4 linked regions of the Canis lupus familiaris genome follow. Each later gene encodes a partner of the first gene's protein in a complex. Links are inferred from orthologs where the notes say so. Each region holds a gene or a part of one and is shown on either strand. Other genes may lie near its edges.

What was found. The genes of interacting proteins can lie anywhere in the genome.
Region 2: MED12 (region 1) and MED23 share a complex: the UniProt entries of both Homo sapiens proteins name them as parts of the mediator complex. The link is inferred for Canis lupus familiaris from reciprocal best matches to the Homo sapiens genes MED12 and MED23.
Region 3: MED12 (region 1) and MED18 share a complex: the UniProt entries of both Homo sapiens proteins name them as parts of the mediator complex. The link is inferred for Canis lupus familiaris from reciprocal best matches to the Homo sapiens genes MED12 and MED18.
Region 4: the proteins of MED12 (region 1) and CDK8 are in contact, whole or in part, in a cryo-EM structure (PDB 8TQ2), measured with the Homo sapiens proteins. The link is inferred for Canis lupus familiaris from reciprocal best matches to the Homo sapiens genes MED12 and CDK8. Residues at the interface, in NP_005111.2 of Homo sapiens: Pro26, Gln27, Gln31, Glu33, Asp34, Leu36, Asn40, Val41, Lys42, Gln43, Gly44, Phe45, Asn47; in NP_001251.1 of Homo sapiens: His143, Ala144, Trp146, Phe180, Asn181, Ser182, Pro183, Pro186, Ala208, Arg209, His210, Thr212, Lys213, Met273, Pro274, Pro320.

What each region holds. Positions count from the first base shown.
Region 1 is NC_049260.1:55,703,227-55,706,216, forward strand, and holds the end of MED12 (mediator of RNA polymerase II transcription subunit 12), read left to right. Parts: coding exon 1-222; coding exon of another isoform or gene 223-357; exon of another isoform or gene 358-379; intron 380-529; coding exon 530-643; intron 644-833; coding exon 834-915; intron 916-1,130; coding exon 1,131-1,174; 3' UTR 1,175-2,442; downstream 2,443-2,990. UniProt on the Homo sapiens protein: Component of the Mediator complex, a coactivator involved in the regulated transcription of nearly all RNA polymerase II-dependent genes.
Region 2 is NC_049233.1:378,990-382,563, reverse strand, and holds part of MED23 (mediator of RNA polymerase II transcription subunit 23), read right to left. Parts: coding exon 3,519-3,574; intron 1,274-3,518; coding exon 1,106-1,273; 3' UTR 1-1,105. UniProt on the Homo sapiens protein: Required for transcriptional activation subsequent to the assembly of the pre-initiation complex. Component of the Mediator complex, a coactivator involved in the regulated transcription of nearly all RNA polymerase II-dependent genes.
Region 3 is NC_049223.1:71,505,649-71,508,533, reverse strand, and holds the end of MED18 (mediator of RNA polymerase II transcription subunit 18), read left to right. Parts: intron 1-1,480; coding exon 1,481-2,034; 3' UTR 2,035-2,385; downstream 2,386-2,885. UniProt on the Homo sapiens protein: Component of the Mediator complex, a coactivator involved in the regulated transcription of nearly all RNA polymerase II-dependent genes.
Region 4 is NC_049246.1:13,124,169-13,127,371, reverse strand, and holds part of CDK8 (cyclin-dependent kinase 8), read left to right. Parts: intron 1-903; coding exon 904-1,001; intron 1,002-1,701; coding exon 1,702-1,780; intron 1,781-1,900; coding exon 1,901-2,059; intron 2,060-3,203.

The DNA of each region.
Region 1 (2,990 bases):
GCACCCATGATAGGTACCATGACTCCTCTGGGTGCGCAGGGCGTCCAGGCCGGCGTGCGATCGGCGTCCATCCTGCCTGAGCAGCAGCAGCAGCAGCAACAGCAGCAACAGCAGCAGCAGCAGCAGCAACAGCAGCAACAGCAGCAGCAGCAGCAGCAGCAGCAGCAGCAGCAACAACAGCAGTATCACATCCGACAGCAGCAACAGCAGCAGATTTTGCGGGTGAGGCCCCAGGCCTTCAAGTGGGACCTGGGCACCCCCGGAGGGGGAGAGGCAGGTGCTCTTCCAGGGTTTGACATGATGGTGAACCGAGTGAAGCCGGCACCCACTCCCTGGAGCACCCCAAGCACGCAGTAGGGGCCTGAGAAGTTCCTACCCTCCCCCCTGTGTCCCCCCCCACCCCCGCCACTGGCTTCTGGGGTGGTCAGTGGGATCTCCCTGGGAGTCTTGCGCTATTAAGGGGGACAGTGGACCAGTTCCCCTCCCCAGAGCCACCACCATGTCTGAGGCTCACTGCCCTTGTTTGTAGCAGCAGCAGCAGCAGCAACAGCAGCAGCAGCAGCAGCAGCAACAACAACAGCAGGCACACCAGCAGCAGCAGCAGGCAGCTCCTCCCCAGCCCCAGCCCCAGTCCCAGCCCCAGGTAGCTGCTGGGCCATAGCCCCTGGCTCAGGGACAGTTGCCCAGGTTGGGCACAGCATTTTGGGGGCAGTGGGGGGGTGAGTAGAGGTGGGAGGCAAGGTGGGGCACTCCAAAAAGGGAGTCAGGAGATGAGGATGAAAAAGGAAGCGGAAAGTTCGAGATCAGTCTTCCACTTCCGGTTTCCACCTCAGTTCCAGCGCCAGGGGCTTCAGCAGACACAGCAACAGCAACAGACAGCAGCTTTGGTCCGGCAGCTCCAACAACAGCTTTCTAGTAAGCCTGCTTTCCTCTCTAGGGAGAGCCCCAGGGACTACATGGTGGTGGGGGGGCGGGGAGGGCAGGTGACCGCTTCAGGCCCAGGTTGGGGTGGGGTGATGGGTGTGAAGCATGGCATCCTGTCCCTTACTTTGGTACTCAAATAGCCTTTCTCCTACATACCTATATCCTTGCCTGGTCTCCCAGCCCTGATGACCTCTGGTTTTCCACAGATACCCAGCCACAGCCCAGTACCAACATATTTGGACGCTACTGAGCCATCTGGAAGAACTGCCTGGATGTAGCCCCACCCCTTCCTATTAATTCCCAGTCCCCTTCTTGGGCTAGCACCAGTAGTGGTTGGGGCTCTTCCCTCAGGCTCCATTTTTAATAAGTTTTTAGTATTTTTGTTAATGTGAGGCATTGAGCTGTTGGGTTTTGTATATTATTTATATAGAGACCCCAGAGCTGTTGCACCCAATACACAGAGCTTCTTTGCAAAGGGAGTGTGTGAGTTCTGCATGGTGGGGAAGGGCAGGCTCTGAGGAGAGTGCTGGGGGCTGGACCAACCAGTCAGAGCCTTTGTTCTGTTCTGTTCCAATCAGCTCTCCTGTTTACCTTCCATCCCACCAATTTCTAGATTCCAATTGGATTGCTACTCTCTTCTCCCTTCTTCAACCTGACAACATATTATATACGTTGGGGCCCTTAGTTTCTTAAGAAGGGCAGCTTACCTTCTCAGCTAGATGTTGGGGGTTCTTTGTAGCTTCTCTCCATGAGGGATAGACCACTAGGGTGGGGGAGGGGCTGATAGGCCAGAGGGGAAAAAATCAGTGGAACCTGATTTTTCTGCCCCCCACTCCCTGTGCTGCTGGGTTTTGAACAAGCTTCCAGGGTGGAGGGTGTGACTGGCACTGCCTACCCTTTTGGCCAACCTCTGCGCTCCCTGTCATATACCAAGCAGCATCCTAGAGAACTTCTCCCAAGAGTCACATTTCTGGGATGAACTGGGATGAAAAATTGCCCTCCATTGGCATGTGTCACCATTGAATTGGTGGTGGAAGGAAGGTATGGTTCTGAGAGGAAGAGAGACCCAGGAAAAGGAAGGACCCTTTTCTCTCTTTGCTCTGTTGCTGGAAACTGTTTTCACCTGACCCACCTTGGCAGTTACCCAGGATGACTGTTGATCCCTCCCATTTTACAGTAGAGAAAACTCAAAACTGTTGCTCCAGAGTCACATTTGGAACTGTGGCGGGGTCATTTGCAGCCCCTTTGCCTTCAGGTTTGAGGCAGTACATAAAGGCTATTCAGGAGAGTCAACTGGTGTACTACAAAGGAGTCTTCTGGTATGTCCAGCTGGGGCTTGAAGAGGACCAACCTCAGCCTTGTTGGTGGGTGGTACCGGATGATTTGACAACTTCAGGGTAACATCCAAGCCATAGTCACACTGGGTCACTGGCAAGTGTCACATGTGCTGGTAAAACCGAGGATCAGCCATCAATACCCAAACACCAGAAAATAAAAAATAAAAATAAATAAAATCCCCCTTTGAGGTCCAGAACGCCCTTGCTCATATGGGACTTACCAAGTTTCAGAGTTGTGTTCACAAGGAACAGATCTCCCCGGACAGGGTCAAGGCAGATGTGACCAAAGCTTGCTTCTGATCTGTTCTATCCAGACAAAAACATTCTGATGAGCTACAGGGTTAGGGGCTCAGCTGAGATAAGGGACACTCAGGGGGACTTACAGTGGTGGTGGTGGGGGCTAAATGAATGGGACAGGTGCACCATATACAGAAACATGAGACATAAAGCTGGATCTGGAGGGGAGAGCCTGAAATGGTGGGACAACTGGCGTGCTGTCTGACATGCCCCAACAGAAGCAGCAGAAAGGAACAACCGTTGACTTTTGGGAGAGTGACAGGACGAGAGCAAAGTACCCCTACCCCTCCACTGGTTGCTGCTTGCCTTGTGCGGGTGCTGAGGAGGGGAGAAGCAAGGGATGCTGAGCAAGGTGGAGGCTTGTCTTCTGTAGAGTATGACTGCGGGCTCTTGCAGACAGCAGTGCCTCAGTTTCTCCCTTTGTTTCAAGGT
Region 2 (3,574 bases), on another chromosome or scaffold:
ACAATCTTAATGCCATTCTCTCTCTGCCCAAATTAACAGTTTGTCTTTCAAAATCTGATAAACCCTAAAGAACCAAAAACTATGCTATATTTAAAAATACAAATACTTAAAAATTTTAAGATTTTTTATAAAAATTTAAAGAATCGCATCATAGGCCAGGTCAAAGTGTCAAACTTGGAAAGCAATTAATTTGTTTTAAATAACAGAGATTGGAGAATCACCATTTAAGCATGATTTTATTAAGTGTATGCATTTCTATGTTATTTATTTTTTAAAGATTTTATTTATTTATTTATTCATGAGAGACAGAAAGAGAGAGAGAGGCAGAGACACAGGCAGAGGGAGAAGCAGGCTCCACGCAGAGAGCTTGATGTGGGACTCGATCCTGGGACCCCACGGTCACGCCCTGAACCAAAGGCAGATGCTCAACCACTGAGCCACCCAGGTGTCCCTCTATGTTATTTTCTTACATGGCTTCCAACTCATTTCATACAATAAGTTCAAGTCCACAGCAAAGGCAACTAACTTGCCAATCTACGTTGATAGAACCATTAACCCATTTATTTGGAAGCCTATGGTAAAAATTTTAAGCCATTTTTAAAAGAATATGCAACTGTGTTTGGTCCTGAGATGCAATGAAATCTAGAGGCCTTCACTTGACAAAAAAAAAATCTCTTATCCCAAACATACACCAAAAGAGACTTATGTATAAAATCATTTGAGAACTCTTTTCCAATATATTTGAACACTGAAGTCATTAACAATAAAAATTAAAAATAAAACCAGTGGCTAGAATAAGAAAGACTGGAAGTATCTAATGAAACTCATTTGACCACAGATACCCTCCGTATTACTAGGTAGCACTAACAGTTATAGATATGGCCAACATGTAGCTTACTTGATCTCTTAGAGACAAAAATATAGATAGAGAGGTGGGAGTCATAAAGTATCAGTAGATTCATCGTTTGAATCAAAATAAGACAATCTGAACATCACTGCTTCTACTACACCACTATGTAGCCTGATTATGTTCAGATTTAATAGATTAGAGTCCATTTTCAAAGACAAATGTATTTCCATTGTCAACACCGTACATGAGAGGACTTCACTGAGTTACTGGTAATGACACTGGCACCTGATTAGACTGAGGAGCTGGAGACCCACTATTTATGGCTTGTGGAGGCACTGCAGGTGGTTCCATCTTGCTAATGTGTGTGATGAATCGAAGACGAAGTTTTAAAGCTGGTTTTAAATTACAAATAATCTTCTCTACCTAAGAAATAAACACATTAAAAAGTATTTTAACCAGAGAATTTCAACCTCCCACCCTTAAAAAAGTGCTTTATACACATATGGAGGCAATAAACTAGGGAGTGGATGAGAAGTTTCTTTATGTGTTTTATGTTTTAACAAAAGCAAATAAAATCATTTCTCTCTTACATGAGGAAAAAAATTGTGTTCTCCCTCAAACACATTATGTATGTGCATATGAGTATGTACATATAGTCTATATATGTATCAACTTACAAAAACATACTCACTTACCTAGCCAGCCAGTCATCCCACTGTGAAAAGTTAATATAGCTTACACTAGAAATTAAAAAAAAATTTTTTTTAAATTTTATTTATGATAGTCATACAGAGAGAGAGAGAGGCAGAGACACAGGCAGAGGGAGAAGCAGGTTCCATGCACCAGGAGCCCGATGTGGGTGGGACTCGATCCTGAGTCTCCAGGATCGTGCCCTGGGCCAAAGGCAGGAGTCAAACCGCTGTGCCACCCAGGGATCCCCTACACTAGAAATTTTATGCATCCAACCAGCTCACCATCCTTTTCTTTTTCAAATATATATTTTTAAGATTTATCTATTTAGGGATGCCTGCATGGCTCAGCAATTGAGCATCTGCCTTTTGGCTCAGGTCGTGATCCTGAGATCTGAGGATCGAGTCCCACATCGGGCTCCCTGCATGGAGCCTGTTTCTCCCTCTGCCTATGTCTTTGCCTCTCTCTGCGTCTCTCATGAATAAATAAATAAATCTCTCTAAAAAAAAAAAAAGATATTTATTTATTTATTTACTTGTGAGAGAGAGCGAGCAAGTATAAGTGGGAGGGGCAGAGGGAGAGGAAGAATCTCAAGCAGACTCCGAGTTGAGCACGGAGCCTGACACAGGTCTCCATCTCATGACTGCAAGATCACAACCTAAGCTGAAACCAAGAGTCAGACACTTAACCAACTATACCACCCAGGCCCCCAGTTCACCACCCTTTTCAAATGCCATCATCACAGAAGCATGATTAAACTTTGAAGTTATATGAATAACTTATATCTGTAACATTTATCTATAAATTAATGTTTTGGTTTTGATTTATACTTGGAATTCAAACAAAATAATATTAGATCTACTTTTACTTAAAATATTTTAAAGAAATAAAAAACATCAAGCAGTTCCATGGTTTTCTTAGCTTTATTCAAATGTTCTTTGACCTTACCAGAAGAGATTGCCCAATAATTTTTCTTTTCTGTATTCCCTGTGTCAAAGTTTCTCAGGTCCAGATATAAAAGATATGCTAAATAAAACATTTCTGTATTGGTTCCCACTCAACTGTGACAATCTTGCTGAGGCAATAAGGGAGTCAATATCCTCCCCACCCCATGTCCCTAGCTCCAAGTCAAGAATCCAGTAGACTAGGATTCATAGGTTTAAATATCAGTTTACCTTCCTTTCCTACCAGAGAAAAAATTAACGTTAAGCTATGGAGGGGAGGTCATTTCACCTACCTGACCTACCTCTTCCCTCTGAAAGAGCCAAGCTTCTGTTTCCTATAGATAGGAAACTCAGTTATGATTCAAGGACATCCTTTCCATTTTCAGATCACTTTACTAGGAACTGGCTCTTTACATGCTGAGCAGAATGTGCCTCCCTTTAACTTTACTGGAGTTTATACGCCTTTTGAAGTGACACAGAACAAATCTAATGCCTATTCTGAATGGCAACCTTCCAAATAATGAGAACACGAACAATTCCCTAGGACTTTGAAAATTCAATCTAAGTACCTCCAGTTCCTTCAAATACCCTTTATGAATTATTCCCTTGATCTTCCTGGCTTCAGTCTTCAAGTCATGCTGCAATCTGTCCAATGTCCTCATAGTGCATACCCTAGTCACTGTGGCGAAAAGTAGAATCTCCTTCACTCATTACACAGCACCTCTCTGGTCTTTAAAAAGTAGCCATTCTGTATTGTTTCTTCCTAATGAGAGTACTATTTATCAACTACCTAGGTCTTTTCCAGATGTCCTGTTGCAAATATCAAGGGGAAAAGTATGAGAAATTATAACATGTATTCACTATTACTGGAATTACATATGTAGAATAATGTGCTCATAGCCTTAAAAAGGTCTGATAATATTAACCTTTTCCCCTTAAAAGAAAAAACATAACAAAAATACTCAAACAAAAGTATATCAACATATGTTCAAGTTTTCTAAAGTAAACATCATTAAAAGATAAAGTTAACTTACTTGTTCTTTTACGCTGTCACCAGTAAACATATACTTCATATGATATAGGAAGTCAC
Region 3 (2,885 bases), on another chromosome or scaffold:
GGAAGATGTGCTGTCTTATTTAGGGTGATCAGAAAAGACCTCTCTGATAAAGTGACACGAGCTGAAGACTTGAAGAAAGTATTCAGGTTTGGCATGCAGATACCAGTGAGAAAATTTTTCTAAGTGTAGGGGCTAAGGGAAGAGGTTCTGAATAGAAATACTTTATCAAATACTTGGCAATTTTAGGAAATAACAGGAAGATCACTGTGGCTGGTGAGAGGATCTAGGGAGATAGTGGAAAGAAATGATGTTGGACTGGTAGCAGGGACCACAATGTATAGGGCCTTGTAGATGATGATAAAGACATTGGGATTTATTCTGAATGACAAGGGAAGGCATTGGAGGATTCTGAGCAGAATATCATTATCTGCTTTATATTCTAAAAAGACCACTTGGCTGTTATGGGGAGAAGGGTAGAAGCAGGCAAGAAATAAAGGAGATTTGGACTAGATGGAAATGAATGAGGGGCTGAGAAGTGGTTGGATTATGCATGTATTTTTAAAATATGGATTGGGTGTAGGATATGGGGGAAAGAAAGGAATCAGGATGATTCTGTGGTTTGGAGCCTGGGGAACTAGAAGCAGAGAGCTTCCATTCACTATGATGGGAAAGACTGCAAGAGGAATAAGATTGTGAAGGAAAAGCCAACAATTGGATACTCAACATATGAAGATGAAGATATCTGTTAGGTATCCACGTGGAGAAACTGAGTAGACAGTTGGCTATATGAGTCTATAGTTCATGAGTTAAACATGGGAGGCCTCAGGGCATAAGTGGCATTTAAAACCATAGCACCAAATTAGGTCACCTTGAGAGGAAGAGATTGTTAAAAAGAGGACCAGGATTGAGTCCTAGGATCCTTTAGTATTTAGGGAAGGTGAGAAAGATCCAGCAAAGTAGACTTAAAAGGAATGGTCAGTGAGTTAGGTAAAGAACTAAGAGTTGTGTCCCAGAGGCCAAGGGAAGAATAGATTCAAGGTGGGTATAATCTAACAACCATGTCAGATGCTGCTAGGAGGATGAATAAGATGAGAACAAAGATCAGTCTATTTTTATGGAGCACTTCATTTTCTTTTACTTAAATATTTTACAAAAAAAGGAAATGTTATAATCTATAGATCGAAAACTTGTGTTGCTAGAAATAAAAGATAATTTTTTAAATAAATGACAAGAGTACTATTATTCTCGTTGTTAAAGCCTCTGAGCCCAGAGCCCACTGGCAATTACCATTTAGGGAAGGCCTAAAGGCTTTCTAGTACCAAATAAGACAATGCAAAAAACTGAAAGGGGATTAAGTTTCTCATAGTGTTATCTAATACCTTGGCAGCATAACCCCTCTGAAATCTCATATATTGGACCTGTGCTCTACAAAACACTGCAATAAACTGTTTCGGTTTTTCATTTAAATTTTTTCAGTCTTTTGCTAATCCCAGTACTCCAAATGAAAGATGGGACTCAACAATGCTCTTTTGTTCTTCAGGAAGTGTTTTAGATCACAGTTTGGAAAGCCTCATCCATCGCCTTCGTGGTTTGTGTGACAACATGGAACCTGAGACTTTCCTTGACCATGAAATGGTGTTCCTCCTTAAGGGCCAGCAGGCTAGTCCATTTGTTCTAAGGGCTCGGCGTTCTATGGATAGGGGCGGGGCACCCTGGCATCTACGCTACCTGGGACAACCGGAAATGGGAGACAAGAACCGCCATGCCCTGGTGCGAAATTGTGTGGACATTGCAACATCTGAGAACCTCACTGACTTCTTGATGGAAATGGGCTTCCGCATGGACCATGAGTTTGTTGCCAAGGGTCACTTGTTCCGTAAGGGTATCATGAAGATTATGGTATACAAGATCTTCCGCATCCTGGTACCAGGAAACACAGACAGCACTGAGGCCTTGTCACTTTCCTATCTTGTGGAACTGAGTGTTGTTGCACCAGCTGGGCAGGACATGGTCTCTGATGACATGAGGAACTTTGCCGAGCAGCTGAAACCTCTGGTTCACCTAGAGAAAATAGACCCCAAAAGGCTCATGTGACTAAGACAGTCTGACCGCCACTGGGGCCTATCCTCACCTGTTATAAAAGAGAAGATGTTACAAATGCCCCATTTCATTACTACCAGCCAGGCATTCTTAGGAGGACAGTAAGAACTTAGTTGGGTCTTTACACTGTTTTCCTCACGTGACAAGTTCACTTTTGTGACAGCCTTTCCAAATTAAAGGCTCAGGATAACATGAGAAGTCTATCTAGTCCCTTTGTATAAAGAGAGGAAACTAGAATAAATTAGCTTTCAGAAAGAAAAATCTTTTAATTGTTTTGCTATTTGTGTGTAAGGTTTATAGAGACTGTGAGCTTGTATTGTGGGGTAATAAAGGCTATGAAGAGAAGCATCTGTGATTCCAATTCTTTATTACCCTGCTAATTCGGGGTGGATTCACTACCAATTGGAACCAAAAAAAATGACAGTTTTTTTTTTTTTTTAAGATTTTATTTATTTATTCATGAGAGACACAGAGGGAGAGGCACCATAGGCAGAGGGAGAAGCATGCTCCATGCAGGGAGCCCGATGTGGGACTCAATCCTGGGACTCCAGATTGCCCTGGGCCAAAGGCAGATGCTCAACCACTGAGCCATCCAGGCATCCCAAAAAATGACAGTTTTTAGTTTGAATCCTGATAAAGGTAATAGTTTTTACCTTTAACCAAAGTAGCACGTTCACTGAAAAACTTTTCTTTATTTATTTTTTAATATTTATTTATTCATGAGAGACACACAGAGAGAGAGGCAGAGACACAGGCAGAGGCAGAGGGAGGACCAGGCTCCATGCAGGGAGCCCAATGCCGGACTCCATTCCAGGTCTCCAGGATCATGCCCTGGGCTGAAGGCA
Region 4 (3,203 bases), on another chromosome or scaffold:
TCAAATGTTCTGAAATAAATAAATAAAATAAAAAATCACCTCAAATATTTTTGTTCATAAAGTCTTAAATAAACTGTTTTAACCAAAAAAATACTGAATTTTCACATTAGTGTGACATTTTTATAGGTAGCAAAATAATAATAATACATAGTGCTTTCTTTGTGTCAGGTACCTTTAGAATTGCTTTCCATATATTAACTCATTTAATTCTGAAAACAAACCTATGGTAGCTGGCACTATTTTTAATCTCCATTTGACAAATGAGGTTGCAAAGAGATTAAGCAACTTGTCCAAAGTCACTCAGATAATAAAGGTCTTCAAGTCTCCATTCATAACCCCTCTGTACTTCACAAGTTCTGTATCAAGCACCATATTTATTTAGACAGGGATAACACTGGCCAGGAGAGCTTTCTCTGATGATCTGTGCTGTGCAATAGGATAACTCCTAGCCACATGTGGCTCTTGAGCTCTAGAAATGTACCTGATATGATTGAGAAATTGATTTTTTTAAGTTTAATTTGGTTTTAAATCTAAATAGTCACATGTGACTACTCTATTATTTGTGTTATAATAGTTTTTTTCCCTTTATAGAAAAAGAATAGAAAATATAAGAGTTTAGTCTTGTTCTAAATTGGACAAAACAATTTGCATAATGTAGATCATTGGTTTAGAATAAGGTAAAGGTTTTGTTTACTTCTTAGAACCAAGTAAGATCATGATTATTAGAATTACTAAATGTGAATTACTATGTTAAATGTAATAATCCAGTTTTTCTCTTGTTAATTTGGGGGAATAAATACCGCTCAAATTGTAGTGTTTCATCAAAAAACATGTACATCCCACATATGGCCAAGGATATAACTATAAGAAATAACACAATGTTTTTATGATTTATGATTTCAGCTTCAGAAGTTACTTACTATGGACCCAATAAAGCGAATTACCTCAGAACAGGCTATGCAGGATCCCTATTTCTTAGAAGATCCACTTCCTACATCAGAGTAAGTGATCAGTTTATTAACTCACCAGCATGATAGAATTTTCTGGAGTGGGCTTGTTTGAGTTGTCAACTCCAAGTTGCCACTCGCATTACATGGGGACCTAGGGAAATCCCAGTGACATGAGCTCTGATGACTGAGGTGTCATTTAGGGCTTTTACAGTGAAAAGGCATTCCTGTTCATGTCTTACTTTATGAAACATTACCAGCTTTATTTTCAGCCGTGCCCCAATTATTCAGTGACAGGTTAATTATGCATGCTGTAGCTCACTCAGACTCACTGAGATGGCCCACTGCTTACAGTTACAGTTTTGTGTTTTAATTACAAAATCCCATTCCCAAATAAATTTGTGTTCCCCATGTCATCTCTTATGTGTAGAAGGGAGAGTAAAAAAAAAAATTGTGTTCAAATAGTGACATTTCCACTGGAATCTATATTTGGATTGTAACAATAAAAGAGTGAGTCTGGGATAAAAGAAAGTTGAGTCATATTCGATGATTATTGATTATTTTCACACAATGAAAATCCTTCCCATGGTCTGCTACAATGTCCCTAGTTAGAAGAAAAGATTCATTTTGGCACAGTTGCATGAAGGGTGCTTATTTTACAAATAAGGACACAAAGTCCATCTTAAAAGATTAAAATGAAGCATCTGAGATACTGATTAGCATACTAGAAATTTTCTTTTTTTGTTGTGAGCAGCGTTTTTGCCGGTTGTCAAATCCCTTACCCAAAACGAGAATTTTTAACAGAAGAAGAACCCGATGACAAAGGAGACAAAGTAAGTATTAAAGTACATTTGGCTGCTGCTTGTTTTATTCCATCTACCGTGTAACATTTTCTTGTTTGTATTTGGTTCTCCTTCTGAGTTGAACTTTATTTTTCTGTTTAACCAATTGAGAAGAACCAGCAGCAGCAGCAGGGCAATAACCATACTAATGGAACCGGTCACCCAGGGAATCAAGACAGCAGTCATACACAGGGACCCCCATTGAAAAAAGTGAGAGTTGTTCCTCCTACCACTACCTCAGGTGGACTCATCATGACCTCAGACTATCAGGTATTTCCAGTTCATTGTGTATTGACTGGCCATATCAGTATTTGTAGATGGGTTTGTGACCTAAGAAAATGCTGACCTTCATGTCCCCGGGGAAAATATAGTGATGTGAGTTGTTATTGGCACAGCAGAGTACTGACTGTGGTACCGGACAGGGGGCCGACTTTTGAACTAAACAGACCTGGAATGATCAGACTTATAAATTATGCCATTTATGAACTGTGTGACCTTGGACAAATAAAATTTCCTGGCCTTTTCACCTGTAAAATGAGACTAGCCAAGCCTTGCTTGTAGTTGTTATAGGAATAGACATGATAAGTCCTAGCACCTGACTTATAGTAGGAGCTCAATCAGTATTGTGCATTGTTTTGAAACAACAGGTATATCAAGAATGATTAAGAATGATTAAGAAAGCTACATCTAAGGCTTTCAGGGGCATCTGGGTGGCTTGGTCTGTTAAGCTTCTGCCTTTGGCTCAGGTCATGATTCCAGGGTCCTGGGATTGAGCCCGTATCAGGTTCTGTGCTCAACAAGGATCCTGCTTCTCCCTCTCCCTCTCCCCTCTGCTCATGTTCTCTCTTGCTTGCTCTCTCTCAAGTAAATGAATAGCATCTTTAAAAAAAAACACAGACTTTCAGATCCCAGCCTAGCCACTGACTTTGGGTAACCTTGAGTAAAGTAATTCAGATGTTCTCAGTTTTCTCATTTGTAGAAGTGATGATGGCAAGTGTGAGGTGGTAGCAAGGATTAAATGAGAGGACGTACGCTAAGGCACAGTGGCTAGCATGCCATAGTGCTTAACAGATGTTACCACTTTTTATCATTTTTATTATCATTATCATCAAAATTATTAGTAGTGTTCATAGTATGCAGTAAGCATTTACTAAGTGGTGGTGGTGGTGCTGGTGATAACTAATAATAAGAGTTTGTTGGGTGTTTACTATGCCAGCTTTTTTACTAAGCATGAAACTTACATTATTTCCTTTGATCATTATGGGAACTCTGTGAGTAAGGGTTATTGTCATATCAGAGATGCTCAGAGAAGAACTTTCACATATTTACCTGTTGAGCTGGGGGTAGACCCAGGATACAGTCTAAGATCTGACAACCAAGACTGCTCTGTTGCCTGCCTGTGGATCCCATCAAG